Linked DNA regions of Oreochromis niloticus. The protein of the gene in region 2 interacts with the protein of the main gene of each other region in a pairwise test. Links are inferred from orthologs where the notes say so. Each region holds a gene or a part of one and is shown on either strand. Other genes may lie near its edges.

What was found.
Region 1: the proteins of mapk7 (region 2) and ube2c interact in binary tests that used the Homo sapiens proteins (3 or more experiments, as listed by UniProt). The two-hybrid records come from large-scale screens. The link is inferred for Oreochromis niloticus from reciprocal best matches to the Homo sapiens genes MAPK7 and UBE2C.

Annotation. Positions count from the first base shown.
Region 1 is NC_031970.2:1,167,391-1,183,223, forward strand, and holds ube2c (ubiquitin-conjugating enzyme E2 C), read right to left. Parts: upstream 5,713-15,833; 5' UTR 5,561-5,712; intron 5,228-5,560; exon of another isoform or gene 5,225-5,227; 5' UTR 5,207-5,224; coding exon 5,100-5,206; intron 3,800-5,099; coding exon 3,772-3,799; intron 3,657-3,771; coding exon 3,570-3,656; intron 3,497-3,569; coding exon 3,292-3,496; intron 3,212-3,291; coding exon 3,152-3,211; intron 3,057-3,151; coding exon 3,019-3,056; 3' UTR 2,941-3,018; downstream 1-2,940. Other genes in the region: polr2j (DNA-directed RNA polymerase II subunit RPB11-a), read left to right, coding at 10,436-10,578, 11,102-11,210, 12,007-12,108. UniProt on the Homo sapiens protein: Accepts ubiquitin from the E1 complex and catalyzes its covalent attachment to other proteins. In vitro catalyzes 'Lys-11'- and 'Lys-48'-linked polyubiquitination.
Region 2 is NC_031973.2:17,614,148-17,629,655, reverse strand, and holds the start of mapk7 (mitogen-activated protein kinase 7), read right to left. Parts: upstream 6,689-15,508; 5' UTR 6,528-6,688; intron 6,103-6,527; exon of another isoform or gene 5,971-6,102; intron 2,639-5,970; 5' UTR 2,635-2,638; coding exon 2,361-2,634; intron 2,246-2,360; coding exon 2,080-2,245; intron 1,430-2,079; coding exon 1-1,429. Other genes in the region: vkorc1 (vitamin K epoxide reductase complex subunit 1), read left to right, coding at 6,943-7,124, 7,855-7,964, 8,218-8,429. UniProt on the Homo sapiens protein: Plays a role in various cellular processes such as proliferation, differentiation and cell survival. The upstream activator of MAPK7 is the MAPK kinase MAP2K5.

The DNA.
Region 1 (15,833 bases), on a different chromosome or scaffold from region 2:
GAGTTAAAAAAGTTTAACTGTTAACTGAAAGAAATGTTGCCATAAGAGGGATTTGAACAAAGCCTCCCAGTCTGAGAACGGATGCTCATCTCACTGAGCTAAAACACAGGTCATCCCGGCAAGGAAAATCAGTGACGCCACTGATGATATGGCAGAAATGGGCAAAAAATATTGCAAAAACAATTCAATATCTCAAAAAGTATAGAAGTTATGAGCACCAAAAGTCATAGCAGGCGAAAATGCTGTGTGGATGCCTGAACGCTGAAGCTGTCTGCTGAAAAGCTGCAAAAGATGAAAAGTTGCAAAAAGTTATACGGTGGTGAAAAAGAAAATGTTGCCATGAGCAGGATTCGAACCTGGCCCTCCTAGTCTCAAGGAAGCTAGTCATCTCACTGACCCAAAGTCACTCTCAAAAAGAAGAGGTGGAGAGATGGACAATTCTGCTAAAATGAGCAGAAGCTGCTGAGAATTGTGCTGATAAGAGGAGAAAAGGCTGAAAATTTTGCAGAAAAGAGGTGAATCAGCAGAATTTCTGCTGAAAAGAGGTTTCTGCTGAAATCACCTGAAAAAGATGGGATTTGTGCTGAAAAGGGGTGAAAAAACTCACAATTCTGCTGAAGAATGGGGTGAAGAATGAGCAGTATTTCTGCAGAAAAGACGGAAAGAAGCAGAACACTGTGCTGAAAAGAGGTGAATGAGCAGAATTTCTGCTGAAAAGAGGGTTTTTGTTCTGAAAACAGCAGAAAAACTGAAAATTTTGCTGAAAGGGGGTGAAGATGCTCACATTTGTGTTGAAAACAGTTAAAAAAAAAGTTTAACTGTGAACTGAATAAATTGTTGCCATAAGTGGGATTTGAACCCGGGCCTCCCAGTCTTAGAACGGCTGCTCATCTCACTGAGCTAAAACACAGCTCAGCCTGGCGAGCAGAAATAAGTGACCACATTGATAATGTGTTCCATTCATTTCAATGGGCAAAAATATTGCAAAAAATATTCAATATCTCAAAAAGTATAGAAGTTATGAGCACCAAAAGTCATAGCACACATTAGCAGAAAAAGCAGAATTTTTTAGAGTTTGAACGGAGAAAATCGGCTGAAAACTGAGGGAGTAGTTAATCGGCAAAGAACGGAGCAACTAGGAGAATAAAGATAAAGAATAAAGAGAAACAGGAAAACAATAGTGTGGATGCCTTGAGGCATCCACACAATTAATCAGTTTGTGTTGGCTGTTTTCTTAGGAGAGGCAGACAGAGGTGCAGGAGCAAATGGGCCGGCCTGCACTGAAGTTAATTCAAGAGGTGGATACACATTGGAACAGCACATTCCAAGTGCTTCAACGTGTTCATGAACTCAGGGAACCTATTGGAGCATCGTTAGCTGGCCTGCACACTGATATTTGCCCACTATCCTCTGAACTGTATGAGCTTATGGCAGAATGTCTCAAAATGCTCTCCCCATTTAATGATGCCACCACTGAGCTGTCAGAGGAAAAGCGAGTGCCTGGATCCAAAGTAATTCCACTTCTAACAATGTTGCACCATGCACTAAATGAAGAGGAAATGGGAGTTGTCCTAACTCCAGAGAGCTCCACCATGGTTGAGTGTCTAAGGAGACAATTAAAGGAGAAGCTCTACACATTGCAGTCAATGAGCATCATGTCACTGGCAACATTGCTGGATCCAAGGTTAAAAAAAAAAAAGTCTTCTTTAGCTCAAATAAAGCACTGGATGGTGAGAAGAGACTTATTTTTGAATGTGCTGCTATTTTGCGGCACTTGGCTCCCTCATCAGCAGCAGCTTCATCATCAAAAGCTTCTCAGCCTGTGACTCAAGGTATATGAGCACATTTTGATTATTATATTGTATTTAGTTACTTACATTCTGTTTGTTTTAGGTAGCAAACTGTGGCATCGTTTGGACACCACTGTTATGGAGACAAAGACCCCAAATGCTACTGCTGATGCAACAGCTGAAGTGCAGAAATACCTCCATGAACCAAACATCGGCAGACTGGAGAATCCGCTGGAGTACTGGGTTGGACACAGATTTGTTTATCCAAACTTGTATAAACTTGCTGTGGTTTTTCTTGCAACCCCTGCTTCATCTGTGCCCCGTGAAAGGGTATTTTCAAAAGCAGGAGAAATCCTCTCAAAAAAGAGGAACCGTCTTAAGCCCAGCACTGTGGAAAAGCTGCCATTTTTGAATAAAAACAAATGAGAACTTCTCCCTAGTGTCATAAGCACTGTTATAAAGTCACAAGCACATTCACATCACAACTCCCTCCCTTTTTGTTTCCATGTACATTCCTGTGTTAAGCTGCCAATGTATTATACACAAACATTAATATATTAAATATAACTAATATTTATAGTTTAGTTATTGGTGTCATGAACAACAGTAACTTCTTTATTCAACTTGAAGCACCACACACTAGTTTGTGTCATTATCCAGATGTACACAAGCATGATTACAAAATCATCCCACAAACTGTCCTGATAGTTTCCACTTTCTCTTTTGTATCAGACATACTGAGACAATATTCAGGATAAATAACCATAAAAACAATTTATTCAGTTTAGCGGTTTACAAATCACATTATAATCACTCAACCTGTTTCAGTTGAATCGTCCACTTGATGGTGCAGTAGAGCAAATGAATCATGACAATGCTTCGAACCATGAGTCAACTACTTAGATGGAAAGCTTCAGTTCATCACGAGGCTTCATCTCCCCATCACTACTACAAAGTGTACTTCAATATTGACAAACCGCTCTGATGTCATGATGCAGCAGCAAAAAACCCCACCCACCCAAGGCTCCTCCTTTTCCTCCTACTCTTTCAAAGTAAAAGCAGCTGAATATTAAAAAGAGAAGTCCAGCCTGCATGCGGTGTGTCAGGGAGGACAGCCTGTTTCAGCCACTCCGATAAATAACACACTGTGTTGAATTAAGAACTTTATTGACAAACATAAAAATATGATACAAACACAGAAGACAGACGAACATGAGGCGGCGGAGATTCACTTCTGGAAGGTTGAGTGTAGATGAGTTCTGAAGGCTGAAAGAAAAAAGAAAAACAAACAACCTCCATCAGTCCTGCTGCACGCAGCTGTTAACGTGTTTGAACACAGCGCGGTGTTTACGTGGTCTCACCTTCCTGGTTGTCCCACAGTTCGGCCGCCACAGCGTTAAGAGGACTGTCGTTGTTAGGCTCTGAGGAGGAAGCAGAGTGACAGTGAGGTCATAGGTCAGAGTGCAGAGCTTGGACAGTGCTGGGGTGATGACGCATTTACCTCCCAGGAGGCTCTGGATGGACAGCAGGATGGAGCGAACGTCGTAGAGTGCCGACCATTTGTCCTTCAGGATGTCGAGGCAGATGAAGCCGTGCTCGTCTACATTGGGGTGGAAACATGGCGTGACAAACTTTACGCGTGGGGCCTGGTACGGGTAACCGGCAGGAAACTCCAGAGAGAGGCGGTACCTGAGGCCCTCGTACACCTGAACAGGTAAGAGAGCAGAGTTTAACTTTCTGCTGAGAGTAGAGAAACCCAAATGATCCGTGTGTACATACCGTCCCCTGAGCGCCATCGATGGTTCCAACCCACTTAAACAGATTATCTGACTCTGGGAACGCCGAGATCCCCTTATCACCTGACATCTGCACCAGAGAGAGAGAGACTGGTCACATGACTTCAGGACACATGGGGGTGTCAGATGACCTCAGGTGTTACAGGTTAGAACAGAACACTGATGAGGATGAAGACTGGACTCACCATGAGCGTCATCAGCTCCTGCTGCAGCCTGCAGACACACAAACAGGAAGCTCAGAATCTGCTGTACATGCTCAGTTCAGTGTTTCACTGTTGGCTCAGACTAAGGAGGAGCCTGCCTCCTTTGTTGTTCAGGTGTTTCCTCCTGAACTCACCTCAGCGCTTCATGAAACTGCAGCTCAGACAGGTGCTGTGCAGAGAGGATCAGGTAAACCTGCCCACCTGTCTGACTCAGACTGAGGCAATTATGATACTACGTTTGCCTGTCACTCCACACCTGTAGGAGCTGGCCCCCACCCATCACCTGCTGAACAGCGTCACTTTTAGCCCTTTCACACAGGTATCTACTCAGCTCGACTCTAGTAGTTTTCGGTTTCTGGGGTTGTTGGTTTCCCCCGTTGCCGGGTTTTAAATATGGTGGCTTTGATTTTCGTGAATGACACGCCTTCATGACTCATCATTCGACGCTACTGACTAGCCAATGGGTGGCATCCAGTCCGTTGATGTCACATTTTAGGATAGCACATACTACAAAACAAAAAACAAAAACCTGTTCTGACAAACCATCCTACTTTGGCAAAACGTCCTACCGTAAGTAGTTTATGGACATTTCTGCTGTCATAGAGTAATTCCAGCACAAATTTAAGTAGGTATGATGGTTTGCCACTTAACTTTGCCCATCAGAGTATGCTTGTAGCTCATATTCATAAAGCCAGGACGGTTAGCCACTTAATTTTACCCGTTAAAGTATGCTTGTAGGTCACATTCACAAAGGTAGCATGGTTTGGCACTTCATTTTAGCCGTCAGAGTATTTTTCTAGCTCTTATTAACAAAGGTAGGATGATTTGCCACTAAATTTTAGCTGTTAAAGTATGCTTGTAGGTCACATTCACAAAGGTAGGATGATATCTTTACCCGTCAGAGTATATTTCTAGCTAATATTCATAAAGGGTAGGACGGTTCGCCACTTAATTTCGTGTTGTGCGCATGCGCAGAAACAATGGGTAGGATGGTTTGTCAGGTCGGATGGATTCCCAGAACACCTGTACTAGTGGGACAGGGCCACTGGTCTAATAGAACGGCGGCACAGCACATTGAAACCAAACCATTGTTTAAACTTTATTAGTAAGGCTGCTGGTAATCAACCGTGAACAGGAAGTGTACCTGCTAACACCTGTACGACACGTAGAGTCAGAAATTGGCACTGAGAGCTGACACAAACACCCAATATGAAAACACACAGTAGGAAAAGTCTCTCTCCCTCTCTCACACACACACACACACACACACACACACACACACACACACACACACACACACACACACCCACCGTTTGGACACAGAGCCTCTGGCCGCGCTGCCGCCGCTCTCGCTGCCTTTCAGAGCGGCGGCGCTGGAAGCTGCAGCCGCTGCGGGGTCCATGTTCTGGGAGGCCATGTGCGTTACCGTCCGGTTCTGCTGAATCAGACAAACTGAGGTTAGAAGGCCCGGGTTCCTCTGCGGATCACCTCCCGTGTTTCTCTCTCTAAGCTAACAGCAGCTAAACGCTGGCACCGGATACAGCTCCGAGGACTCTTCTCCAGCTGTATCCGCCTCTCAGGCCACCGTTCGGGTGTTTTACTCAGACCTCGCTCCAGTAACAGACGAGGCTCACCTTCACTGTGACGACTTCGTGCTAACGGTGCTAACTGTTAGCTCTACCGGTCGGCTAAGCGTTAGCTCTGTGGCTAGCCTGTTTATTACCCAGGGGAGACTATAAACAAACAAAAACTTTTCCCAGTACGGACTCACCGGTTGTCGGTCGGGGTTTGTCGGTCAGAGTATCGCTACTGTCTGTTGGATTCAAACGGAACATGCTCCCGCCCCCCGATTTAAACCGACTGTTTCTTACACAGTCGGCCAATCAGCGCCCGACCTTTAAAAACAAACCAGCTTTGGCTGGCCAATGACAGGCCTGCCAAGTAAAAGGAGGTGCGTTGTGATTAGGCAGCGTGAACGACGAAATGATCCAAACGTCATTTAATTCTGACGTCATAACAGAGCCCAACAAGTCAGAAATCGGTTTTAGTAAACAAATAAAATTACATAAATATACATTTGTGTATTCACTTACCTGTCATAATAAATATGCCTGTAAATAAACGTTTTACCTTCTGTGTATGATTACAGCTCTGTTTCAGAATAACTTATTATTATATTAGTGAAAGGTGACTATCAGATGATGTCATGGGGAGGCGCTGAGAGCACAGATCCACAGTGAGAATGATGTAATAGTTCAGTTAAACTTTGGTGGGAACCACTCGGAGAGTTTCCACCAGGAAATGAAATGCTGTCAGCTCGCAGGTGATACAGCTGTCTTCATTAAAGATGAGTTCAAAACAAAGATGATAAACTGCATTAATGCTTTCTCTGGAGTATCAGGTCTGACTTTAAACATGAAAATGTGTCCTGTTCCTGTCGGAGAGGCTCGTGTCCATAAAGAAGGTTTTCCTGTCAAAGAACAGATGACTTATTTGGGAACTAACATCTGTCGAGATCAATCTGAGAGGGTCATTTCTAATTTTCAGCATATAAATCCAAAAATGAAAAACAGATTTGATCTGTGGCTCATGAGCCATCGTTCACTGATCCTTTTATCTTAAACAGGGATTGTCTCACTCAGTGCATCCTGCAAAAGTAAAAATGTTCCTAAATCATTCGTAAAACAGTCGATGCTGCACTTTATTCTTTTGTGTGGGAAAACAGAAATAAATCAATATTATATGAGAAATAGAAAAATAATATTAATGATGTGTCCCAGCTAGTGAAGGAAAAAGGTAATTTTCTTCCATATCCTGTGTTGTGAGGACCTGTGATGTTCCCATATCTGTGAGCGAACACAGTACAGTGTTTCATGATGACACAAATGGACCAAATATACAGACAGCACTGAATAAAGATGTTCTCAGAGATGCCATTAATATACTGGATAAAACATATATGATTCATTGTCCTATAACTCCTCACTGTGAGTTTTACTGGAACAGTAACTTTATGAATATTAATGAGTCATTGATATGGACTTACAATAAGAAGTATTTAATCACCAACAACGTCGAATAACAAACCAATTTATTAAAACTATAGAAATGATCTGGATGAATCTTGTACTGTAAAACTGTAAAACAGTCAGTGAAACAATTCTACATCTTTTTGAATGATGTATTTCATTTTTTAACACATACACTACATTTAATGTTTTCTTTTTATTTTCATTGTCTGTGAAGGTTCTCAGTCATCCAGGTCATAGTCTAAGGAGCTTGGAAAGAAAGCAGCAAGAAGGACACATATACAAACAAACAGTACACAAGACACAGAACAGAAACATACACAATTTTTACATATTTACATCAACGACAATGGTTACCAAAAACAGAGTACTGTACCGTTATTAAATTAAATAAAATGAAATACAGATAAGAGGCAAACCCTGGTTATAGTGTAAATCGGCTGATAAAATAGTGCAAGTTACAGCGCTGATGTAAACCTCTATGTTTGTTGGGAGCAGTTTTGGTTGTACAGTCTGACAGCTGCAGGGAGGAGGGACCTGCGGAAACACTCCTTCATGCATCGAGGATGCAGCAGTCTGTCAGTGAAGGAGCTCTGCAGTTCAGCAGCATTTACATGCATGGGGTGGGAGACTCTGTGCATCAGAGATGTTATTTTGGCCAGAGTCCTTCTGTCTCCCACCACCTGCACTGAGTCCAGGGTGCATCCCAGAACAGAGTTGGCCTTCCTGATGAGTTTATCCAACCTCTTCCTCTCAGCTGCCGATAAACTGTTGCTCCAACATACAACACTGTAAAAAATGACAGATGCCACCACAGAGTCATAGAAGGTCTTTAAAAGAAGCGCTCCTTGGACTCCCCTGTGGGGCCCCCGTACTGCTGACCAGCGTGTCAGAGACACAGACCTGTGACCTCACATACTGTGGACGTTCTGTGAGGTAGTCCAGTATCCACTGGGACATGTGGTGGTCCACTCCCGAAAGCTCCAGCTTGTCCCTCAGAAGTCGTGGCTGGATGGTGTTGAAAGCACTGGAGAAATCAAAGAACATGATCCTCACAGTGCTTCCAGGCTTCTCCAGGTGAGTCAGAGCTCGGTGAGGGAGGTAGATGATGGCGTCCTCCACCCCGATGCCAGGCTGGTAAGCAAACTGCAGTGGATCCAATGAAGACCTCACCAGGGGGCGCAGATGGTTCAGAACCAACCTCTCGAGGGCCTTCATCAGATGCGATGTCAGGGCTACCGGCCTGTAGCTGCTGAGGTCCTTGGGATGGGAGGTCTTTGGTACCGGTACCACACAAGATGTCTTCCACAGCTGTGGTACTTTCCCCAGTGACAGATTCAGGTTGAACAGATATCCTAGGATGCCACACAGTTCATCTGCGCAGCACCTCAGGAGCCTGGAGCTGATGCCATCTGGACCTGCAGCCTTCCGCACCTTGATCTTGCGAAGCTCGTTCCTCACTTGAAGTGCTGAGATAGAAAGAGTGGATTTTGGGGAGGGGGTGTATGTTGGAGTCCACAGAAGCCGGGGGTGGGTGTAATGACTGGGAGCTGGGAGGTGTGAAGCTGAGAGGTGTGAAGCTCTGAGATGAAGGACAGGCAGTCCCTGAAGATGAGGGAGATTGCAGCAGGGGGGACGATGCTGGGGGAGGGGTGGGTGGTTGATCAAACCTATTAAAATATTTATTTAGGTCAGCGGTCCCCAACCCCCGGGCCTCGGACCGGTACCGGGCCACGAGAGTTGAGGCTCAGGTGTGAAATGTATGGTTTTCAGGGTTTTTATCGGTTTTCAGCGTTATTCTGTTATCGTTTTTATTGTTAACTCGGTTTTCCTGGGTCTTTTCATGTGTGTTATGAATAAATCTTTTTTTCGGTACCGGTACTAGTTTTATTTTGTTGTATTTATCCGTGACACCTTAAAGGCCGGTCCGTGAAAATATTGTCGGGCATAAACCGGTCCGTGGCGCAAAAAAGGTTGGGGACCGCTGATTTAGGTCATTCACCCACCCCAAGTCTCCTGCAGCCTGGGGGGTTGGTTTTTGTCCTGAGATTGTCTTCAGGCTGTTCCAAACCCCTCTGATGTTGTCCTGTTGCAGCTGCTCTTCCATCTTCCTCCTGTAGTTTTCCTTTCCTTGCCTTATCTTCCATTTCAGCTTCTTCTGGACAACTCTCAGCTCCTGTTTGTCTCCAGATCTAAAGACTCTCTTCTTCTCCTTGAGGAGAGCCTTAATTTCAGGATTTATCCATGGCTTGTTTTTTGAAAAACACTGTACCTTTATGATGGGTACGGTGTTGTCCACACAGAAGTTCATGTAATCCGTAATGCAGTCTGTGATGCTGTTGAGGTCATCCTCCAGGGGGCTGCAGAGGTTGTCCCACACAGTAGAACGGAAACAGTCCCTCAGGGCCTCTTCAGTCTCTGCCGACCATTTCCTTACTGTGCGTTTCACAACTGGTTCTCTTTGTACTAGAGGTTTATACGCAGGCTGGAGATGAACCAGGTTGTGATCTGAGCCCCCCAGGGGAGGGAGAGGTGATGAGTTGTATGCCTCCTTGGTGTTGGCATACAATAAGTCCAATGTTTTATTGTCTCTGGTATGGCAGGTAACATACTGGATGAAGGTGGGGAGAGTGGAGGACAGGGAGATGTGATTAAAGTCCCCACAGATCAGGAAAAGGGCCTGAGGGTGCTGTGTTTGGAGTCTGCTGGTTACAGTGTGCAGGACCTCACAGGCTGCTCTTGAATACTGTTAGCTGTTCAATGGGCAGAAGACATGAAACCGTTAAAAGCAGTTATTTGTTCAGACTCAGGCTCGTCATTGGTCAGTTTACAGAGTAGCTGCTCAGAAAGCAGAGCACATGTCCTAGCAGAGATTCAGCAACACTTCACAGAATACACATGACGAGACTTACAGGTGTGTTTTTATGGATTCCAGCTCACTGTGAAGTCAGAGCAAATGAAATGGCAGATAGAGCTGCAAAGGAAGCCACAAAACATGGGGTAGTTGACCTGGGTATTAGCTTCTGTCAGACAGAGGTAAAGAGTATGGTAAGGCAAGAAACAAAAAAAAGATGGCAAAAACAGTGGGAGGAGGAAAAGAGGGGACGGTGGTTGGATAAAATCCAAAGGAGGGTAGGAGAAATGAGGAGCACAGAAAGGAGTAGGAAAGAGGAGGTGGCCATATCGAGAATAAGATTAGAACATACTGGTTTGAACACTACACTAGTCATGATAGGGAAACATAATACAGGGAATTGTGACGACTGTGGAGAAGAGGAAACGATAGAACATGTTATATTAGACTGTCAGAAGTATCAGGTGGAGAGAAGACAACTGACCCAAAACCTCAGCAATATGAAAATGAAACTAGTTCTTATTGATTTTCTGCAAAAGGACTCGAGAAGTGAAAGTTATCAGGCCTTATCCCAGTTTTTAAAAGAGAGTAAATTGCTTGGGAGCATTTGAGGGGTTTGGGGGGTTTTTTGAGCGACGTTCCAGTCCCCACTCCACACCAGTTGGAGGCGGTAATGCACCATTCAGTTGTTTGCCAACCGCCAATAAACCCTATACAGAAGAAGAAGAAGAAGAAGCAGCCGCAGCAGCAGTGAACAGGTAAGATGAACGCGCCTCCCGCTTTCGAGTCGTTCCTGCTGTTCGAAGGGGAGAAAAAGATCAGCATCAGCAAGGACACCAAAGTCCCGAACGCCTGCCTGTTCACCCTGAACAAGGAGGACCACACGCTGGGCAACATCATCCGAGCGTAAGGCCCCGAGACACGGCCGCAAAGGCATCACACCGCTACATCCAGGCTAACAACAGGCTAACCTCAGGCTAACAACAGCCCGCTAAAGTCATCCGAGCGTAAGGGTCCCAGACCCGGCTTCACAGCTGGCTAAGTTGAGGCTAACAGCCACACAAATGCTGAGCAGCGGCTCAGAGATAGATGCTAACACGCAGCCTGCAGGTGTTTCAATCTTACAGGTAGCGTAGGAGGTGTTTTACAGAAAACCAGAACATAGTCTTGGAATATTTGATCTCTACTTGCTTTTTGTTTTTTAATAAATCATGACATGCTGCTGATGGGAAACAGGTCTTAGTGTAAGCCACCACAGGTGGCTGTCCCAGTGCCTGATCATAAAATCAGCAAAGTTAATGAACTGATCCTCAAATATTCTTCCGTCAGACTGTCATGTGAGCTGCACACACACCATTCACACTAAACTGCTCATCCTTACAGTCTGTCCACCAATCAAATGACTTTCTCTGTGTGTGTGTGTGGTCAGTCAGCTGCTGAAGGACCCTCAGGTTCTGTTTGCTGGTTATAAAGTTCCTCATCCTCTGGAGCACAAGATCGTCATCAGAGTGCAGACCACACCTGACTACAGCCCACAGGTAACACGCACACACCTGTGGGATATTCCAGGAAGTATGTTCATCAGACTCTGAGTTTCCTGTTCCAGAAGGGTGATCAGTTAGTTCATTCAGCTCTGAGTGTGTTCCCACTGAGTTATGTGCATGCGTACCTATTACAGACGTCTCAGCTTCTACAGGATCAGGATATTTCAGGATAGTTTTGGAAGAATGACACATTTTAAATCAGGAATAGAGATCAGAGCAGAGCTGCAAACGGATCCAGACGGGATCAGCTGGGAAATGACCGAGCAGACCTGGATCTGGGATTGAGCCGATCTGAATCCGTGATCGAAAATCCATTTTGGATCCGTCCTGCCGTGCAAGTGGACTCGGTTTGCTGATCCGTCATGGAGCCCATGTTCTGGCTGATCTGGTTCTGGGTCGACCCGCAGAGGCTGATTCAGGTGATGTTCAGTGGAAAATCTGCCCAGGCTGTTTGACTTTAAATGACCGAACCTCAATCTGATTACATTTCAATGTGAAATGTAATCAGATTACAATCAGACTGTCTGCAGTGACTTTAAACACATTTAGTTCAGCTTTAGTTTTAAAGCCATCTCAGCCTGAACGTCACTCAAATAAGATCCATTTATCCATCAGAGTGATTGATTATAATAAGAGTGTTACCATGGTAACTGACCTTCTGGAACAGAAAACCCAAGTTTCCCTCATCTCAGGGTTAAACTAAACCTGTTTCCTGGAACACACTTCTGATTACAGCTCTTAGTTACAGGAAGTGAAATTAAATGACAGGAAATGATGTTGTTCCTGACAGGAAGCGTTCACGAACGCTATCACTGACCTGATCAGCGAGCTGTCACTGCTGGAGGAACGCTTCAGAGTCGCCATCAAAGACAAACAGGAAGGCATAGAGTGACCCCGCCCCATCGTGATGTCACTTCCAGTTACCTGTCCTCTGTTTGTCTTCTGTTTTTTTTAAATAAAGCCTGTGATGCCATATCCTGATGAGTGTGTGTGACATACCTGTAGCTCAGGCGGTGGCTGCTTGCAGCTGATTGAAGTTTAAAGTGCTGGTCAACATTTTCCTGTGTTTGTTTTAACAGATCATTAGACAGAACTTAGCACAAATTATTTGTTTGCAAACAATAATAGAGAGAAGAAATACTCTGATCATTATCACCCTTACAAAAACAGCTTTTTCTTCATCTACATCACAAACCTGCTGTGCAGTGACCTGATTACCTCAAAGCTTAAAGCTCCGGTTCAGTTTTTTTCATATATAAGTATATTTAGTTAGGAAAATGAAGAAAGGTTAATTGTATTTCGGTAAGTGCAAGTACTGTGTTGTTTTCTTTTTATTAATAAAAATATTTGCCAAAAAAAAAAAGCTCCTGTTCATACTGAGTTTACCAGTTTATAATTTATATTTGCGTTCCAGTTATGAAAATGATTCATTAAATATGTTTTCATAGAAAAAGTCCAACTCTTCCCACTTGGGTTTTATTTATTTACTTTTTAGGTCAATTGTATTTATACTTTATGTCCAAATGAAAAAATAACTATAAAATGAAACGTGAGGTTGTGCTGAAAAGAATGAGAGCAAGGCAAGGAAAAACAGTCAAAGTGAAATCAAAGTAGTCAAAGACTGGCAGTTATAGATGCGACGCAGAGGGTTAAGGATATAATCCGCCCACTGTTATCGTCTTCAATGCCCTGTACCAACACAGAGCAGAGCAGCTACCTGAACGCTACGCCAACAGAGGTCGATCATCTGGTTAATAATTTTACCTCCTCACTACGTACGACTCTGGATACTGTAGCTCCGGTGAAAACTAAGGCCTCAAATCAGATGTACCTGACTCCATGGTATAATTCTCAAACACGTAGCCTAAAGCAGATAACTTGTAAGCTGGAGAGGAAATGGCGTGTCACAAATTTAGAAGATTCAGTTTTGTTTATGTAGCACCAAATCACAACAACAGTCACCTCAAGCCGATATTGTAGAGACCCTGCAGAGAAAAACCCAACAATCATATGACCCCCTATGAGCAAGCACTTTGGCGACAGTGGGAAGGAAAAACTCCCTTTTAACAGGAAGAAACCTCCGGCAGAACCAGGCTCAGGGAGGGGCGGGGCCATCTGCTGTGATTGGTTGGGGTGAGAGAAGGAAGACAGGATAGAGACATGCTGTGGAAGAGAGACAGAGATTAATAATAACTATTAAATGCAAAGTGTCTGTTAGCATTTTAGCTCCTGAAATGTTCTCAGGTGTTCTCAGGTTAGTTCGAGGAGGGTTTTTGGCTCACTGGTGCAGTTATGGCGCAGTCGTTGTGTGGAAACTTTCAGACCTGAATGAGAGTCCTGATTTGTTCTTGAGGTTCCTTAGTAAGTCCAACTGATTAAGAGGAGGGATCAACCTGCAGACACAAATTTCACAAATAACAAGTGTGATTCAGCAGAGAGGTCTATTAACACATAGTGAGTGAAGAAGAAACACCCAGTTCATCATGGGAATCCCCCCAGCAGCCTTCGAGGGAGGATTCAGGGTCACCCGATCCAGACCTAACTATATGCTTTAGCAAAAAAATAAACAATTTCTCTGCAGATGATCAGTTTTCCACTTCCTGTTCCTTCTGGGGTCCGTTCTTCGTACCTCGCTAAGTAAGTTAGCCGGATTTGATTGTTGACGATTTCGCGTGATCTTGGATCGTTCGGTTCTCCGAAGCTCATCTGGGACTTGCTGTCATAGCAACAGATCCGTAAGCGTAAACCTGCTCGGGAGCAGGCTTACTTTATGTAAACAGGATTAGATCGCGGCCACTCAGGTATGTCCGCTTCATTTATACGAAAGCAACAGCGATATTTCTCCACTGTTTTACCATAAATAAATATTATCAATGTAACTAAAGATAATGCAGTATTTGATTCTTTTATTGATTTCATACAGATACATACAGGTCATTTCCTTAAAAAAGGGAAATGTTACTATTAATCATTCTATTTCATGTATTTGATTATTTCAGATGTAATCCATATTTTAGAGTAGTAATAGTAAATTACTTCGTGTAATCAAGATGAGAGACCACGGCTATAAAAGCGATAAATAATTAAAAAAAAGATTATATATATATATATGTATATATATATATATATATTTCAGTGAACGGAGGACGTGCCAGTGGCCCTGGGACCTCAGGTGGTGGGTCGTTTTCACACTTTCCTTTGTACAGCACCGGGGGGGTGTAGTGATTTTCTTTTTGTGTGATTTTCTTTTGGGTCCGCGGCTGCTGTTAAGTCCAAGTTCCATGATTGTTTTATTGTACTTTTAGGACACTGTCAACAACGACGCTACATTTTGCTTTCTAATATTTTATTTAATTTAACTACAAATAAAACTATATTAATATTGGAGCCAACCTGCCTCGGTGTGCATCCTTGAATCTGTGCGGCCTCTTTTAAGAAAAATAGATAAAAGGAATAAATGTATATTTCTGTTGCGATTGTGGGGTGATTGTGGCTCAAGAGTTGGGAGTTCGCCTTGTAATCGGAAGGTTGTAGGTTCGAGCCTCGGCTCGGACAGTCTCGGTCGTTGTGTCCTTGGGCAAGACACTTCACCTGTTGCCTACTGGTGGTGGTCAGAGGGCCCGGTGGCGCCAGTGTCCGGCAGCCTCGCCTCTGTCAGTGCGCCCCAGGGTGGCTGTGGCTACAACGTAGCTTGCCATCACCAGTGTGTGAATGGGTGAATGACTGGATATGTAAAGCGCTTTGGGGTCCTTAGGGACTAGAAAAGCGCTATATAAATACAGGCCATTTACCATTTCCTGGGGGTGAAATTCCCCTGGTGGTGTTGTCATTTTACTATTTCTTTTATAACCCCGCCGACCACTTGGTCACACTTGCATTCTTTAAATCTTTGCCTGTGTTCAGGAAAGAAGTCTGCTCTTGGGTGTATTTTATTATTTATATTTATTTTATTGTATGTGTTATCGAGTAAACCAACTCTATAGCTGTTTCATCAAATAGGTGTTAGGGATATATAGAGACACACACACACACACACACACACACACACCAACCAGGGTGCTTTTAACCACTATATAGCTTCCTTCCTTCTCTTTAATTTTTTTTTTTCTACAGCAAATTTTTATTGAGTTTGAAAATAATATCAAGACTTCTCTTTTCCTTCCTCGTTTATAAGAACTACTGTTTATGGTCAGACAGCCAAAGCTCTTCGTTGTTCTTTAGCAGACTGGTGTGTTTCTCTAAGCTCACTGCCTGGACCCCTCGTAACTTAGCTGTTTTACAACCAGTCTGTCAAGAGTTTTGAGTTCAAAAGACGGTTGGAGACTAGCCTATCCGGTTGTTCAGTGATGACGTGACGAATCCTACTTCCGGGCCTAAAGTAGTCTGCGTTTAATATGGCTTTTGTGTTGTTAACATGTTTAATGTTTTGTATTTTCTTCTATTTAATCTCAAAAAGGTCCTAAAACAGTCAGTGATCACTGTTGACCTCCCTCGGCTTTTATTACTGCTAATCATTTATTTAAGCTCAGTTTTTAAAACCTTACGATGTAACTACAGCACAGCCCATGCAGCAGTATATGAATGACTAACCTCGTATTGTGGATGGATTATCTCACT
Region 2 (15,508 bases):
AGGTCTGGCGTTCTTGGACAGGGACTGTGAAAGGGATTGAGAAAGTGACTGGGCCTGTGCTGCAGAGAGAGAGAGGGAAGGCACAGCGGTGGGGAGTGTTGTCACTGCCTGTGCTGGCTTTGTAGGAATGGAGTTTGCAGGCTGGGCCATGCTCTGGCTCTGGGTGTTTTGAGCTAGAGGAGCCTGACTGCTTGCTAGCTGCCCTTGTGTCTCGTTGTCTCTCATCGTCTCTGATGGACCGTCCTGACTAGACACCGGTGTTGTTAAATCTATAGTTTCTGGCTGACCGTTTTCCGAGTTGGCACTTGGCATGTCCACATCAACCGGGCCACTTTCACTTTTAGCGAGGAGAGGTAAATTGTGGGTCACATGGGGTGGGGCGACTTTTAAAGCGGATGCAGGCTTACTGAAGGTCGTCATGTGATTTGTAAATGCGTGGCTCCGTTCTGCTGGTGTGTGGTCTTGGTGCTGCTGAGATTTCACCTCTCTCATTTGCTGTGCTGCTTGTGGGTGCTGCGCCAAGGGAACCACTGATGATTCGTTCAGGTTGACAGTTGCAGGCTGAGCACTGCAGTGGTTACTGCTTTGTGCTGCAGCTCCACCTTTCACCCTCACCAAAGGCCTGAACTGCAGCCTCTGACGAGAGCTTTGTTTGTTTCTGTGAAAGTCCTGGATCTCTATAAGAATTGCCTCTTTAATTTGTTCCTTGTTCATCTGAAGCTTATCAAACTCAAAGTCAAAAGCTGGCACGCAAATTGGCTCGTCATCTGGGTCATGGTATTTAGCCAGGTAAGAATGCTCCAGAGCTTCTGTCACGCTTATTCGCTGGCGAGGGTCAAAGCGCAGCATGGCCGCCAGCAGGTCTAAAGCTTCTGGTTCAGCTTGTGGATATAGTTTGGCCAAAGGTATGGGAGATCGTGATGGAAGACTCTGAACATATGCGCGGACCCTGTCAGCCCTAATAGCACCAATTAGACCCTCGGGAGGAGTGCCTAACACATTCAAAATAAGCTGGAGCTGGTGTACATAGTGCTTTCCAGGAAACAGCTGCTTACGGCCCAACATCTCAGCAAAGATGCAGCCCACGGACCACAAGTCAATGGCCAAGCTATAGTGATTCAGAGACAGCAGGAGTTCAGGAGCACGGTACCATCGAGTCGCCACATATTCAGTCATGAAGGAATGAGACTCCTCAGGGTGTGAACTGAGACCCCTTGCCATGCCGAAGTCACCGATTTTTAGCTCACAGTTTTCGTTCACCAGCAAGTTGGAAGGTTTGAGGTCACGGTGGATGACGTTGGCAGAGTGCACATACTTAAGGCCACGAAGGAGCTGGTACAGAAAGTAGCGCGTGTGCTCTGGGGTCAGCGTCTGGGCAGAATGGATAATCTGGTGCAGGTCACTCTCCATGAGATCCAGCACCACATACCTGCACACACAGGAAAAGCAAAAGTAAGATGAAAAACATGCCCACTTGGCAAAATATATTAAAATACTTTTTATTTATACACTGTTGCCCAGGGGAGACGGGAGACTAGTAATGATGCACAGTGGCACGTCATTCTTACCCAATGAAACAGACTTCAAATAAATTTACTAAATCTTATTAGTCTTCTAAACAAGAATCATTAAAATGTTGTGTGCACAAAGATGTCAGGTCAACAATTTTGATTTACACATAACTGGTCAAATAATTACACGTGGACAGAAAAATGACTGTTTTTTGCCATTTTATAAACTGTTTTAGTTTTATTTAAATGTACAAAAAACATTGTGCATGTTTTTTTTTCATTTTTTATTTGTATTTTTCTAGATCAGGTGGCCCTTTTGTTGGGGGCAGGAGCAGGACAGTAAGCATGCCCTTGTACAGTAAAGGGGATGCATGACATGCATTCCTCAGCTCTGATTATAATCTCTTTGAAAAAACTCCAGAATTCCTCCCTGCAGGAAGAAGGCTGGGCATAACAGAACAACATCCAATTTGATGACTATGTTTCCAGCTCTTGTATTTATTAAAAATCTACAGATCTATCTGTGGACGTGTTATTTGCCAAAGTTAGAAAAAAGAAAAGTACGCACACAGACTTGAAGGCAGAATGAGGGAGGTTTGGCTGCAGGATGTCTTTGATAGCGATAATGTTGTCATGTTTGAAGTGTTTAAGAATCTTCAGTTCTCTCAGTGTGCGTTTGGCATTTGTCACCACTTCAAATGCATTGGATATCTTCTTTATTGCCACCTGCTGGCCTGCAAAGTGTAAATGCAGAACAGAATTAAGGGAGAGCCACATTTGATCATTTATTCTGCATTGTACTAAAGACAGAATTAATTACATATATATTTTAAACTAAATCAGCATTACCATTGTCCCTCCTCCTGGCAGAGGAAACAACACCATAGGCCCCAGTGCCAATGGTTTCTATGATGTCGTACTCCTCTCCGACATCAAACTTCACATCTAAAGAGTGTGCTTTAAGCAAAGCCAAGTTTTTAGCTGCCGTGCTGGTGTCCGCGTTGCTGCCCGGTACCTCGACTCCCCGTGGGTTCTGGTTTTCTCTGCTTTTGTCTGTGGCCATTTTTTCAGGGGATGCCACAGGTTGACCATTTTTACTCTCTCCGCCCTCCTTAAGTGACATTTTTCTGTAAAGAATCAAAAACAGAAAAGTTGGAGGAATTGGAAAGTTCTTAACTGCGCCACTTGGGATTATATTAGACTACAGCTTTATAAAACAGCTAGAATTAAATCAGCATTTCTACTATCCGTGTATTGTGAATTCAGGCCATGTAAACCTTCTATATTTTCTCAAATATGATTTATTCACTGCTCTTATTTGCTGCTTGTGATTGAAAAATGAATAACTGTGGTGTATATATGTATATATGTGCTCCTTTAGTCAGAGACTGAAACACCCTCACTACAGGAAGGAGCGATTTCGCAGATCATTCATCCCAACAGCAGTTAGACTCTGTAACTCCTCAATCACGATGTCATAAGTCACTGGACACAGTGGACATCCACAGTCACCACTTCATGCTTAATGGACCTTCTATGTGTATGGACGTGTGCAGGTATATATGTATGTATATGTATACATATTTATATTTAGTGTGTACATGTGTGTGTGTACATGTCTATACATAGGAATAGTAGTGGTACAATAGTTATGTTAAGCTATATAGTTTATGTCTTGCATATTTCCACAACCATATCCATAATCACATACTGTGTATGCTATATAGTGTATAGTGTATATAGTGTATTATCTTACTTATTTTTTATTTGTTTGTATTTTATTTGTATTTTCCTTCTGATATCTGTACCTGAGCTGAGGTAACGCAAAAATTTCCCCGTCGTGGGATCAATAAAGTCTTATCTTATCTTATCTTATCTTATTTTTGTTTCCCTGCAAACATCAACCATTATTTGGGCCGTTACAATGAAACAAAGAGGCAAAATAGAAGGCTCTTGATCCTCTGACCTGAGTCAAGAGCCACACATTAGCTTAATGTTTCTGGGATTTAAAGTCTTATAGTGTGTAATTTTAGTGAGTAATGACATCAACTACATATCATGTATTAATGCAATCTGCGCTAGTCTCTTATACAATGTCAGTCTTACATTTACAGTTTTTTAACTAGCTTCATTTTTACTTTTCTTTTTATCACTTGAGACCCTCAATATGCGCTGGTGGCACTTTAACTTTGTTTTTTTTCTATTGTTGACTGTACTATTTGTATTCTTTATCCGACTTTAACACAATTGGTGGATCAGTAAAATATCTATCTATCTATCTATCTGGTACTGTAGTACCAATTTAGTGTTCAAGTAGTACAAAATAACAAACCAGCAAAAACAAGAAAGCACCCACAAATATTTCAGAAAATGTAGTGTTTTGTCTGTTTTTTTTTTCATTTCAAATATTGTATAACAATGTCAAATATTGTATTTTTTCTCACTCGTAACTAACTGAAGCCTTTTACTGAACTACCAAGTAGGGCTGTTCGATATAACGATATATATCGGATGACGATATAAAAACATCTATCGTTTCATTTTACGCTATCGTTTGTTTCGTGGTGTTGCAAAATAAACTATTTACGGCAATATTTTTTTATCGTTTTGATGGTCACTGTAGTGGCTATATTAATTTCTTAAAGTTCTCTCTTTCTCTTATATTTAATATAACCACATTACTGACGGACAAGCGCCCGTTTTTATGCGTTGTCGTTAGCAACAACGACGGTAAAACCATCGCATGTCCGCTTGTTTATTTTCCACATAAACCTTTCACAATAAAGCTCAAGATCCTGTTGAGACTTTTCAAAATAAACTGAATCATGTGAAAGAGTATGCAGAGTATTTACGGATGAGAAGCAAAAAAGAGCCGTCAGGTGCTAAAAAATAAACCTGGACTCAAATGTTAGAACAGGCTTTTCCCCGCAGCACAATGTGTAACAAATACTCACAAAGAAAACGGCGGCCGTTACAACTTATGTCTAAAAATGTATCGTTTAATGCATCGGTTAAAACACTCGACTCCAGGTACACGACCCCCAGCTGGAAACACTTCACGCAAGTCGAGCTGCCCGAGATTCACAGAATTTACAGAAAATGTTACATTTTTGTGATGTATGTTGTTATCGGGACGATAGATGTCTTATATCGGGATATGAGATTTTGGTCATATCGCACAGCCCTACTACTAAGTGTACCAAGTGTGACTGCTAGTGAAAATTGTTTTCTTTACAAATAACTCTCACCGAACTAACACAGCCAATCCCTCCCTGCACTCATATTTTCTTCATATTAAATATTTTTTTGCTTTTTGAAGAACTTATTTTTAACATTCCACTCGACAACACACAAATCCTTCCTAACAAAAAAAGTAACTTCAAGGGCCAAATTGCATTATATTTCTTCACGTCAAAATACAAGTAGGGGTGATGTGGCCCCCGGGCCACGAGTTTGAGACCCCTGGTCTAGACTGTCCTGTATTTCTAAACAAGAAAGTTTCTATTACTTCACAGAAAATGTCACTGTTGTAAAACAGAGCTTTCTATAGCTGATATTGAAAGAACAAACTTTTATTTCAATTTATTTATTATTTATTACTTAATTATTTTGGGGCTAGTATGAGTGGTCATGGGAGAGTCAACAAGAAAAAGCTGTAACATTTATTAAAATAAATGTAAACATACAAAATTTATGCTCTCCTTAACATTTTCGATTAAAGTCTCTGCTAGGCCGATTCTAGCCCCCGGGCCTTATGTTTGACCCACATGTGTTATGCTGGAATCTGTAGCAGCAACACTATGTACTCCATAAGACCAGTGCCATCCAGCGGCAGCATTTCTGTCACTATTAAAATCAGTTTTACTGAAAACTCAAATTATGCCCATATAAAAGCTTTTCTGTTAACACTTGGGCGCATGGAAGCCATCCCAGGAGTGCCTCCGTTAATGTGGGTACTGAGGAATAACAGAGACTGAACCACCACATGCGAAAGTTTTGCTCAATTGAGATTTAGGAGAAAAACTTAAATAAAAAGAAACTACTGCTTCTGACAAATAAAAACACACTTTTAAACGCTGATAAACTGTGTGAGAGTGACCTGCTAGGGCTCAAACTAGGTGTGATTAGTAACTCCACACCCGCTAGGCCTGGCAGTGAAAGTGGCCAAAACCAAACCTGTAGCTCTCTACTAACGTCTCCACAATAAAGCTGGAGTCTTCATGCGAGTAGCTAAAGGCCAAACCCAGCAGAGGCTGTCTGTAAGAACACACTAATTTGTGTACTACATAGTTATAAACTAACCGCACGACAAGGACTACTCGCAGGGGCGTAGGCTAATAACGTTACCTGAAGCTGGAGCACTCTAGACACAGAAATCGTTAAACGGCATTTTTGTCGATTATATAACAAAACGGAAAAACACTGACACGTGTTTTCTGTTAAAGGAATGTGCGCTCACCTTGTGAGTCACCCACAACACCAGCATTGATGTTTTAACCCCGTAGTAGCGCGACCATCTTTTGTTTTTGTCTGCCGCTTCCTCGTATAGTTCCGCGTAGGGTTTGAGTGCCATGATGCGGACCAACCACATGCGCTGACGTCAAGTAGTTTGTCCAATGGGAACAGAGGACGCGTTGGGAGGCGGCACATTGCTGGACAGTCTCCGCTTTTTCAATTTATTTATCTTTGTGGGGTTTTTTTTTTTCTGTTTCTGTTCTTTCTGTTTTCCCCACAGTTCAATTACTTTAGGAGGAGTCAGATTTAGGGAAAGATACCTGCTCCTGTTGGTGCTTTACACTAACTTTATATATAATATAATAATAATATATATCCAACTAAGCCCGAAGCCTGCGATTATCTGATCAGTCAGATAACAAATGCTAAAGCTGGAGAATATACTAACTACTAATCATAGAAAATTATATTATTAAAATCTTCCAAACTATCCTCATAGTATAATTCACAGCTTACTAAGCACGTTGTGTTACTTTATTTAAAGGATTAAGCAGTCGTTACCTCTAGTTGAGCTCAATTTTAATGACGCATTTCCGAGTGGATATGTTAAGAAAAAATTCAGACACTTTTGGTTAAGTAAAAACAAACAAACAAACAAACTCCTTCAGGTATAGTAGTTTAGCAGTGGAATCTTCCAGTGGCGTGAGATGAACAGCAAGGGCGGTTATTAACATTCCCCAAAGCCCAAACAGACTGAAGTCCACAGAAAAATACAGTGCAAACACCCATCTGCCAACATCTGGACTCCACCGTCCAATGAAAAGCAGTCGCAAAACTCGCACAGACCAATCAAAAGCGACAATCTGAGCACGAACACGTCGTCTTGACTAGGAGGACGGTGACGTTTGAAAGAAAACCAGACTGGACCGTGCAGTTTCAACACATTGGTGCAATAAATTCATCTTTTAGTGTCCACATGGGTGCCATTCAGGGGTTCCCCAAATGGGAGCGAAAGGTACGCATGTTTTTGTGCCTTTTCGGTTTGGTTTTGTCTATTTATGCCCTTCACGTCGAGGTATCCCGGGAGAGAAACCCAGATTACAGAGCGCTGTGCGACCTGGGGGAGTCTGTAAGCTGCTCCAGAGTTTTTACCTCAAGGTATGATATGACTCCTGCCTTTCGTTTTTCCTCATAACTGCGCTTTTTGTGCAGAATCAGCTTACCTGGATCTGTTTTCAGGTGACCACTGATCCATATCTGATCCTAACCTTGTCTTCCAGCTGATACTTTAACATATTTTTTTCTAGCCTTTCTAACCTACACTGAATTGCCACGTGTTCTTAATTTATCTGAAAATACTTTACATCAAGTAGCTTCCTGTTTCACATTGTGAGAATACAAGGTATATACGTTTATTTTGACATTTCTTGTCATTTTTAAGAGAATCAATCTTTATTACACGCTTGATGTTCTACACTTAAGAAATGATTCTTTGCCCTCATAAACATGAAGCAGTGATTTTGAGTAAAATGCAGCGGTAATGTATAATATCAACGGTTTATTTATTAAATTAAATAATCATTAAGGAAAATATGTTGATTATAAACTCTGTATACCATTCAAGTAAATTTCATTTGCTTAAATCTAACATTTAACATTGTACTTATGTAACAAAATTTGATAGAACATTTACATGTAATGAAGTTACTGAAAGTAAGCATTTTGGCCATAGATACTTTCTGTGTACATTTAAATGGTTATATCACATTGCATATCTCTGTAAGGCTGATTATATTTCATAGGAATAAAAAAATAAAAAAATAAAAAAATTGTTCATTTTATTTTGAAGAAATTGCTGCTCTGACTGTTACTTCTTTCTTTCTGGCAGATGGGGACGTGGTTTTGGTTTGGTCCAGTACTTTGTGGCCAAAGATAGTCCTCTAAACCAGCCCAACAGTGTTCTTGGCATCATATTTTACACTCTGCAGATGGGCCTTGGTTAGTCTCTGATTGCCTTCTGTAAATTACAGTGCAATGCTGAGAGCTTTTTATTTAGAATATCATTTGCAATCCAATGTGTTTGTGATCCATGGCAAGCACAAGTATTTCAGGTATTTGAGGATTGCATAATATGTATATGGAGCAATACATTTACTCCACTCTGGACGTGAGACTGTGTGAAATTTCCCAATAATGTACTATGTTTGACTGAGGTCCTGATATCCTCTCTATTTGACTTTTTTCTTTACAGGACTGTCTGTGTCTAAAAAAGCAGCAGCTTTTTTGGTCTTCTCCTCCTGGGTTTCTGTGGCCGGTTCACTCTATCTTGCATCTATTCTCGCATTTGTTCTGGGAGACTTCTGCATGGTCTGTGTCTCCACGTATATTGTCAACTTTGCATTGCTCTACACCAACCTGAAACGGAAGAGAGCAGTTCAGGAAATTAAGGAAAAAGCCAGATAGAAAGTGTTGCCTGTGAAATGTAACAAATCCCTTCCTGCCATCCTGAAACCCTGCTGGATTCATCTCACAGTATTTTGCCAGTGTTTACATGAGTTTACATTCAGTATTTTCACAGAAAAATAACTGGAGATTTGACTCAGAATATCTATAAGTTGGTTCTCAATACAGAAACTTTGTTGTGCAGCAGCTACTTTTGTATATTTTTATTAACTGGTAATGATTAAAACACATTTTTGAATTCTGACTTAATTCTGTGTGATTGTTGTGATTTAATTCTGGGCTGTTATATGGTCAAATGTGTTAAAAGTGGCTATACCTTTCTCTACAGTACATTTACTCAGTCCTACCAGCAGATGGAGATAAATGTCTATTTAATAGCAGTTCAAACAAACTTTATTGGAACGACTGTTCAAGTTGCCCGTCTCCCCCAAAAAGTCACCAGACCTACAAAGAGAAAAAAAAGATGATAAAAAATAAACAAATATATCTAATACAGTGTGCTTCATTACAATATGTACAGTTTTTAACTAATTTATTAGACCACATGTCATAAAAAAACAGAACAAGCAGTGGCAGCTCATTAGCTCAGCTTCAAAGTAAAAATCTGATTATTAAAATAAAATTTATTTCAACTGTGGGTCAAAAGAACAAAGTCAAAAACAGTTAATATGGTAAAATGTGAAAAACTGCCAGTAATTGTATTGTTATTTAATGGTGCAAACACCTCAGTTTCTTACATTTAATGTTTTGTCTGTTTCTTACTTACCAAAGAACTGATGAAAATAATAATGGGCAAAGCGAGGCGACAAGTTTGAACCGTTTGTGCAGGAATTGTATCGAGGCTTCGAAACAATCTGAACCAATCTCCACAGTGACATCTGCTGGCCAATTTGACTATCGCCACATCTTTTTAATGCTGCTCTGTGAAACAAATGAGGCAGACAAGCCCTGCAATTCCAACCAAAACGACTTATTATAACAGACTGTCAGTAATGGTGATGAGCACATCTTTTGAAGAAATCCAAATCCAACCCAGGCAAGAAAAATATTGAGACTGCTAAAGACAGCAGGCTGTAATCGTGATACACAGCGTACCTCAACAAAATTATACATGCGTGTTGCTCACAGTAACTCAATTTATAAAGTAAAACACAGAGAGTAAAGACTGTTGTGTTTAATTTAATAACTGCACAGGTTTCCATCTGTTTTTGGCCTCATTCGGAGTTGTTTTTTTACTCACAGCCCTCAAAGTCTGGTGGTTTATTTATAAGTTTTCTAAGAGTTCGTGTCATCAGGTTTGTTCTAAACAACCTCAATCAAAGCTAGAAGCTTGCATAATTAGCTTTTATTTTTAATTAATTTTAATAAAAAAAAAAACAAAACACCCAGCACGCCCCTGCGGGCGGTTTATCCTTCAAGCTCGGGTCCTCTACCAGAGGCCTGGGAGCTTGAGGGTCCTGCGCAGTATCTTAGCTGTTCCCAGGACTGCGCTCTTCTGGACAGAGATCTCCGATGTTGTTCCCGGGATCTGCTGGAGCCACTCGCCTAGCTTGGGAGTCACCGCACCTAGTGCTCCGATTACCACGGGGACCACCGTTACCTTCACCCTCCACATCCTCTCGAGCTCTTCTCTGAGCCCTTGGTATTTCTCCAGCTTCTCGTGTTCCTTCTTCCTGATATTGCTGTCATTCGGAACCGCTACATCGATCACTACAGCCGTCTTCTTCTGTTTGTCTACCACCACTATGTCCGGTTGGTTAGCCACCATATATATATATATATATGTATATATATTTAAATCAAAAGACTAAATGTGTTTTCCTTCTTTATAAAAAGTTAATATCACATTTTCATTGGCTAATTTTGACCAATCGTCCATCGTGCCATTTCACACAGATCTTTAAATCATCCTCTGCTGAGCAACCTTTGAACCATGAAGAAACATTCCTTAACTTCATACTGCTCTGGATGCTGTATCTTGTAACACCGGCATGATGTATGAGTGAGGATGAAGTCACTTAATGCAGCAAATAACCTTTTCTGTGGAAAGTGGAAAAAAATACAGAACAGACTGAGTCACTAAGACACTAAGACATATTATTCAATTAGTTGGTAAATCAGAAGTATCGGAAGTCTATAACTACTGTAATGCCACGTGTTTGTGTCTTTTTATTAAGTAATCAGCCACTAAGTAGGCTTTCATGCACTGAAAAACTCAGTTTGTTTCTGTTTGACATTTTAATTTGTCACATTCGCTTCTTTTTAGTTTGGCTTTGATTGATTTGTATTGGATTCTTCTGTTGAATTCTTTGCTTAGGATTTTTAAAGTATTCAATGCCATAAATGTGTCAGCCATAGGTTTAGCAATTCTTTGACATTGTGGCAAATTCGGTATTTGGTGGTGGCGGTGGTGGTGGTGGTGGGGGGGAGTAGAGCCAGAATGGCAGAATGACAGACTAGCACTAAGTTCACATAATAAATAAATAAATAAATAATAAGGAAGAGAGACTAATTGGCTTGCTGAAGGTGGGCAAGAAGATAATGGAATCAGAGTGATGATGACAGAATTAAGTGGAAGTGACAGAAAGTATAGAACATGTAAAGTGTAAACACTCTGGAATCCAGGCAGACACGAGAGCACAGACTTCTTGAACTTACTGTGAGCCAGAGCTTTCATATCTAAACAAAGTCCGAAAACAGTGACCCTGCAGCTCTGCATGGTTTTGGATACTTTGAACACAGACCCTGTAGCATAACCAATCAAAAGTAAAAGAAAATAAAAATCTAACAAATACAATCATTTTATGTTTTAGATTTAATTTTATTATCCTGTTTTCACTTTTTAATAACTTAGAGGGTATGGAAATCTTTTCAGTGTGGTAACATTTGTAGAATTCAAATCACTGGTCATCCTAGGCCGGGTTTCAGTCACATCAAATCAGCCAGTCTAGATAAGAGTCAGCCTCTATGACTTAACTGACTTTGACTGTAATCAAAGCTTTTCATAACATGACTGTTGTTATTTTTTCACCCAAAATTAGTCAGAATTTCCTGAGAAGGGAGCCTGGGATTCATCACCAGCAGACTAACTTGTAAACATGGTGACATATTGAATTTAACTGATTTCTGAAGATATACACTGAACAACATTACACTAACCTTATTATAAATATAACAGTTTATGTTGTGGGGAATTATTTTTAGTAACAAATAAGTAATTTTAGTCAGCAGTGACAGTGTAGACAGATTTATGTTTCCACAACATGTGTACTACAATTACACACCAAATTACAGATAGATTAATGAATAGACAATTAACAGTTAGATCTGCAGATTAGGTACAGTCCATATAGAAGTGCAAGAAACATGTTTTCATGTTCTGTAGTTACAGCTTCTCTGATGTGAACATTTCCTCCTTCCTTTTCTCTTTTCCACTGCTGAAATTTTTTTTAGTTTCTGTAGTTCCCGAAAAGATGGCAGTTCATGACTGACTGGACAGCTCAAACGAAATTACGCAATATTTTCTCATGAATCAATTCCTCATTTCATTATTTCCTCTTTTTCCTAATCACCGCAGTTTACTTCCTGATAGTTTTCCAATTTAACACTTGTGACATATCTTGAACTCTTCACTTCCCTATGTTTCTCCTTTGTAACAAATTTTGACCAGAGATGACTAATTTTGACTTCAGCATGTTTTGTTTTGGCTCAAACAGTGGAGTGGGGTAAAAATATGAAGGTTGATGCTTTGCATTTTACCACAGGTGAAAGAGTATACACTGCTTGTCCTTGTGGCATGTGCACAATAACTTGTCTATAGACCTCCTTCTGAGTTTAATGACTCATTAGTTGCGTGAACTACTAAAAGTAACGTTGTCTTGTAATTCTATATTTTCCAGACTACTTTGTTGGAAACGGTACAGGTTACAGTAAGAACAGCTTCAGTGTTGGTGCCTTGATGTCACAAATGTGCTCACACACTAGGCTTACACAAGTAAAACAGCAGAAAGACGATGAAGAAGTAAATTCATGACACAGTTCTGGTGTGAAGACTCAAAACACACAATTACACAAAAGTGCAAATTGCTCTGTAAACACAAGGTCATTGCTGTGATGTAAAAAAGTGCTGGTTATGTACATTTGTTCTCTAAATAGCACCAAAAATGTTAACTAATCCTGGCTGTATTTTGTTATTTGCCTTTGGTACTTCTGCAGCTTCTCGTGTTCATTCTTCCTGATGTTGCTGTCATTCGGTATTGCTATGTCTATCACTACAGCCATCTTCCTCTGCTTGTCCACCACTACTATGTCCGGTTGGATAGCCACCACCATTTTGTGCGTCTGTATCTGGAAGTCCCACAGGATCTTAGGTCGGTCATTCTCGATCACCCTAGGGAGCGTTTCCCATTTTGACCTCGGGACTTCAAAGCCATACTTGGCACAGATGTTTCTGTATTCTATGCCGGCCACTTGGTTATGGCGTTCCATGTATACCCTGCCTGCTAGCATCTTGCACCCTGCTGTTGCGTGCTGGATTGTCTCAGGGGCATCTTTACAAAGCCTGCACCTGGGGTCTTGCCTGGTGTGATAGACCCCAGCCTCTATGGATCTTGTGCTCAGAGCTTGTTCCTGTGCTGCTATGATTAGTGCCTCTGTGCTGTCTCTCAGCCCAGCTCTGTCCAGCCAGTAGGTAGGATTTCTGGATGTCAGCCACTTCCACTGTCTGCCGGTGGTACATACCGTGCAGGGGCCTGTCCTTCCATGATGGTTCCCCCTCTTCCTCCTCTTTCTTGGATTTCTGCCTCCTGAGGTATTCACTGATCACACGGTCTGTTGGGGCCATCTTCCTGATGTATACATGGATGTTTGTTGTCTCATCCTGGACTGTGGTACTGACACTCACTGGTCCACGGCCTCCTTCCGTTTGATTACCATACAGCCTCAGGGTGCTGGGATGAAACCGTCCATGCGTGGTCTGGAGCTTCCTTGTCTTGATTTCAGTGGTTTCTGTTTCCTCCTTTGACCAGTTTATTAACCCAGCAGGGTACCTGGTCATGGGCAGGGCGTAGGTGTTGATAGCCCGGGACTCCTCAGGACTTGCCTGACCCTCTGCAGGTACTTGGTGGTTGCAGCTTTCCTAGCGGGCTCCTCATTGTTCCCATTTGCTTGTGGGATTCCCAGGTACTTGTAGCTGTCCTTAATGTCTGCAATGTTGCCTTCTGGTAGTTCAATCCCCTCAGTTTTTCCCTCTCTTTGGTACCATCCAACTACACTTCTCCAATCCGAAAAGACATTTCGATGTCACTGCTGTAGATCCTGGTGGTGTGGATCAGTAAATCGATGTCTCATTCACTCTTGGCATACACACTCTTGGCATACAGTTTGATGTCATCCATGTGGAGAAGGTGGCTGACGACTGCTCCATTCCATAGTCGGTATCTGTAGGTAGTCTTTTCAATGATATCACTGAGGGGGTTCAGGCCTTTGCAGAACAGTAGTGGGGACAGCGCATCTCCTTGGTAGATCCCGCACTTGATGGTGACTTATGAAGAAATATAACAGAAATATGAAGAACTGCAAAAAAAGCAAGAAGACAAGCAAGACTAATGAGAAGAACTGGCCAAAAGGTGTAGACTTGAAGTGCAGCACAAAGTTTCTTCAGATAGATCATAAACCTAATAGCCAGAGATGGGCACTGTAATCTGATTACTTTTTTCAAGTAACGAGTAATGTAAGGGATTACCATTGCAAAAACGGTAATTAGATTACCGTTACTTTCACGTAGGAACGCTGCGTTACTGCGTTACTAAAACCGTGATTTTTTTGCTAGAACGTCTCATGACAGTGACGTAAGCGAGTGCGACGTTCGTGACAACAGCTGTGTACAGATCAACAATGGACAGTGCGGGAGAGAGTTTGAGCATGCAGCATTTAAAGCGTGGAAGTACTGACCTTATTTTGAGTTTGATTCCATAAAAAGTGACAAAAACATTAGTGTCTGTTGTGCGTGGGAAGAAAACTTCTTTTTACAGCGAAAAAACCCCTAAACTTCCAAGCAAGCACCGAGTGTACTACGACGTAATGTGAAATTCACAGAGAAACTCGCGGATTCTTCCACTGACCGCTGCGGCACACCTGCACCAGGTTAAACCTCCGCCTACCCCAGTCCTGCTTTACAGGTGAAAATAGAGCAACAGGACCGCTAGTCTTTGATTTTATTTATTTTCTGCTGTGTTTTACTTTCATCTATTTGAAAGAGTGAGTGTAAACACAAAAAAATATTTTATTTTATGTGCTGGAATGTGCCGAAAATAGGTTTAAATGTTAAACAAATTTCTTCCAGTCAGAGAATGTTGCATATAATTAAGTTTTTGCTTGATGCATAAAGTTAAAAGATTTAAAGTTTAAAGTTTTAAAAAGAGACGTTTCCATTTGATTACATTTTGTATGATGGATTATGCAGAAAAAGTAGAATTGGGCTGAAAGATCTATCGCTTTATCACCTATTCAGGTTGTAAATCGTGTTTTTAAAAAGTAACTAAGTAACTAAGTAACTAAGTAATTAATTACTTTTGAAAATAAGTAATCAGTAAAGTAACGGGATTACTTTTGGGGGGAAGTAATCAGTAATTAGTAACTGATTACTTTTTTCAAGTAACTTGACCAACACTGCTAATAGCATAGAAAAAAGATCTACAGAAACTGTGCCTGAAAAAGGAAAAAAAGCGCTTCAGGTTTTTCCAGAAGGACTCTGCTGCTTCCTCAGTTAATCCTGTGAAAAACTAGCCTCATCTTCCTCCTACAGGAGCAAATTAATCAATAAGTCACACAAAAAAGATTCAGTGTGTTTCTTATTCAATTTAAATTTTTTAAGAAACATTACTGATAATACTTAAGAAAAGCTGAATAACTTGGAGAAGAAAGGTCATTTAAGTGACTATTCATTCAGACAGTTTTATACACATTCTACATCTCAATCTCTAAAATAACACCAATCTGACACAGAAAAAACTGCACTGTAGGTAGATTCCACTATAAATACGTTTCTTTTTCTTATTTCCACACTTTGACCCTTAACC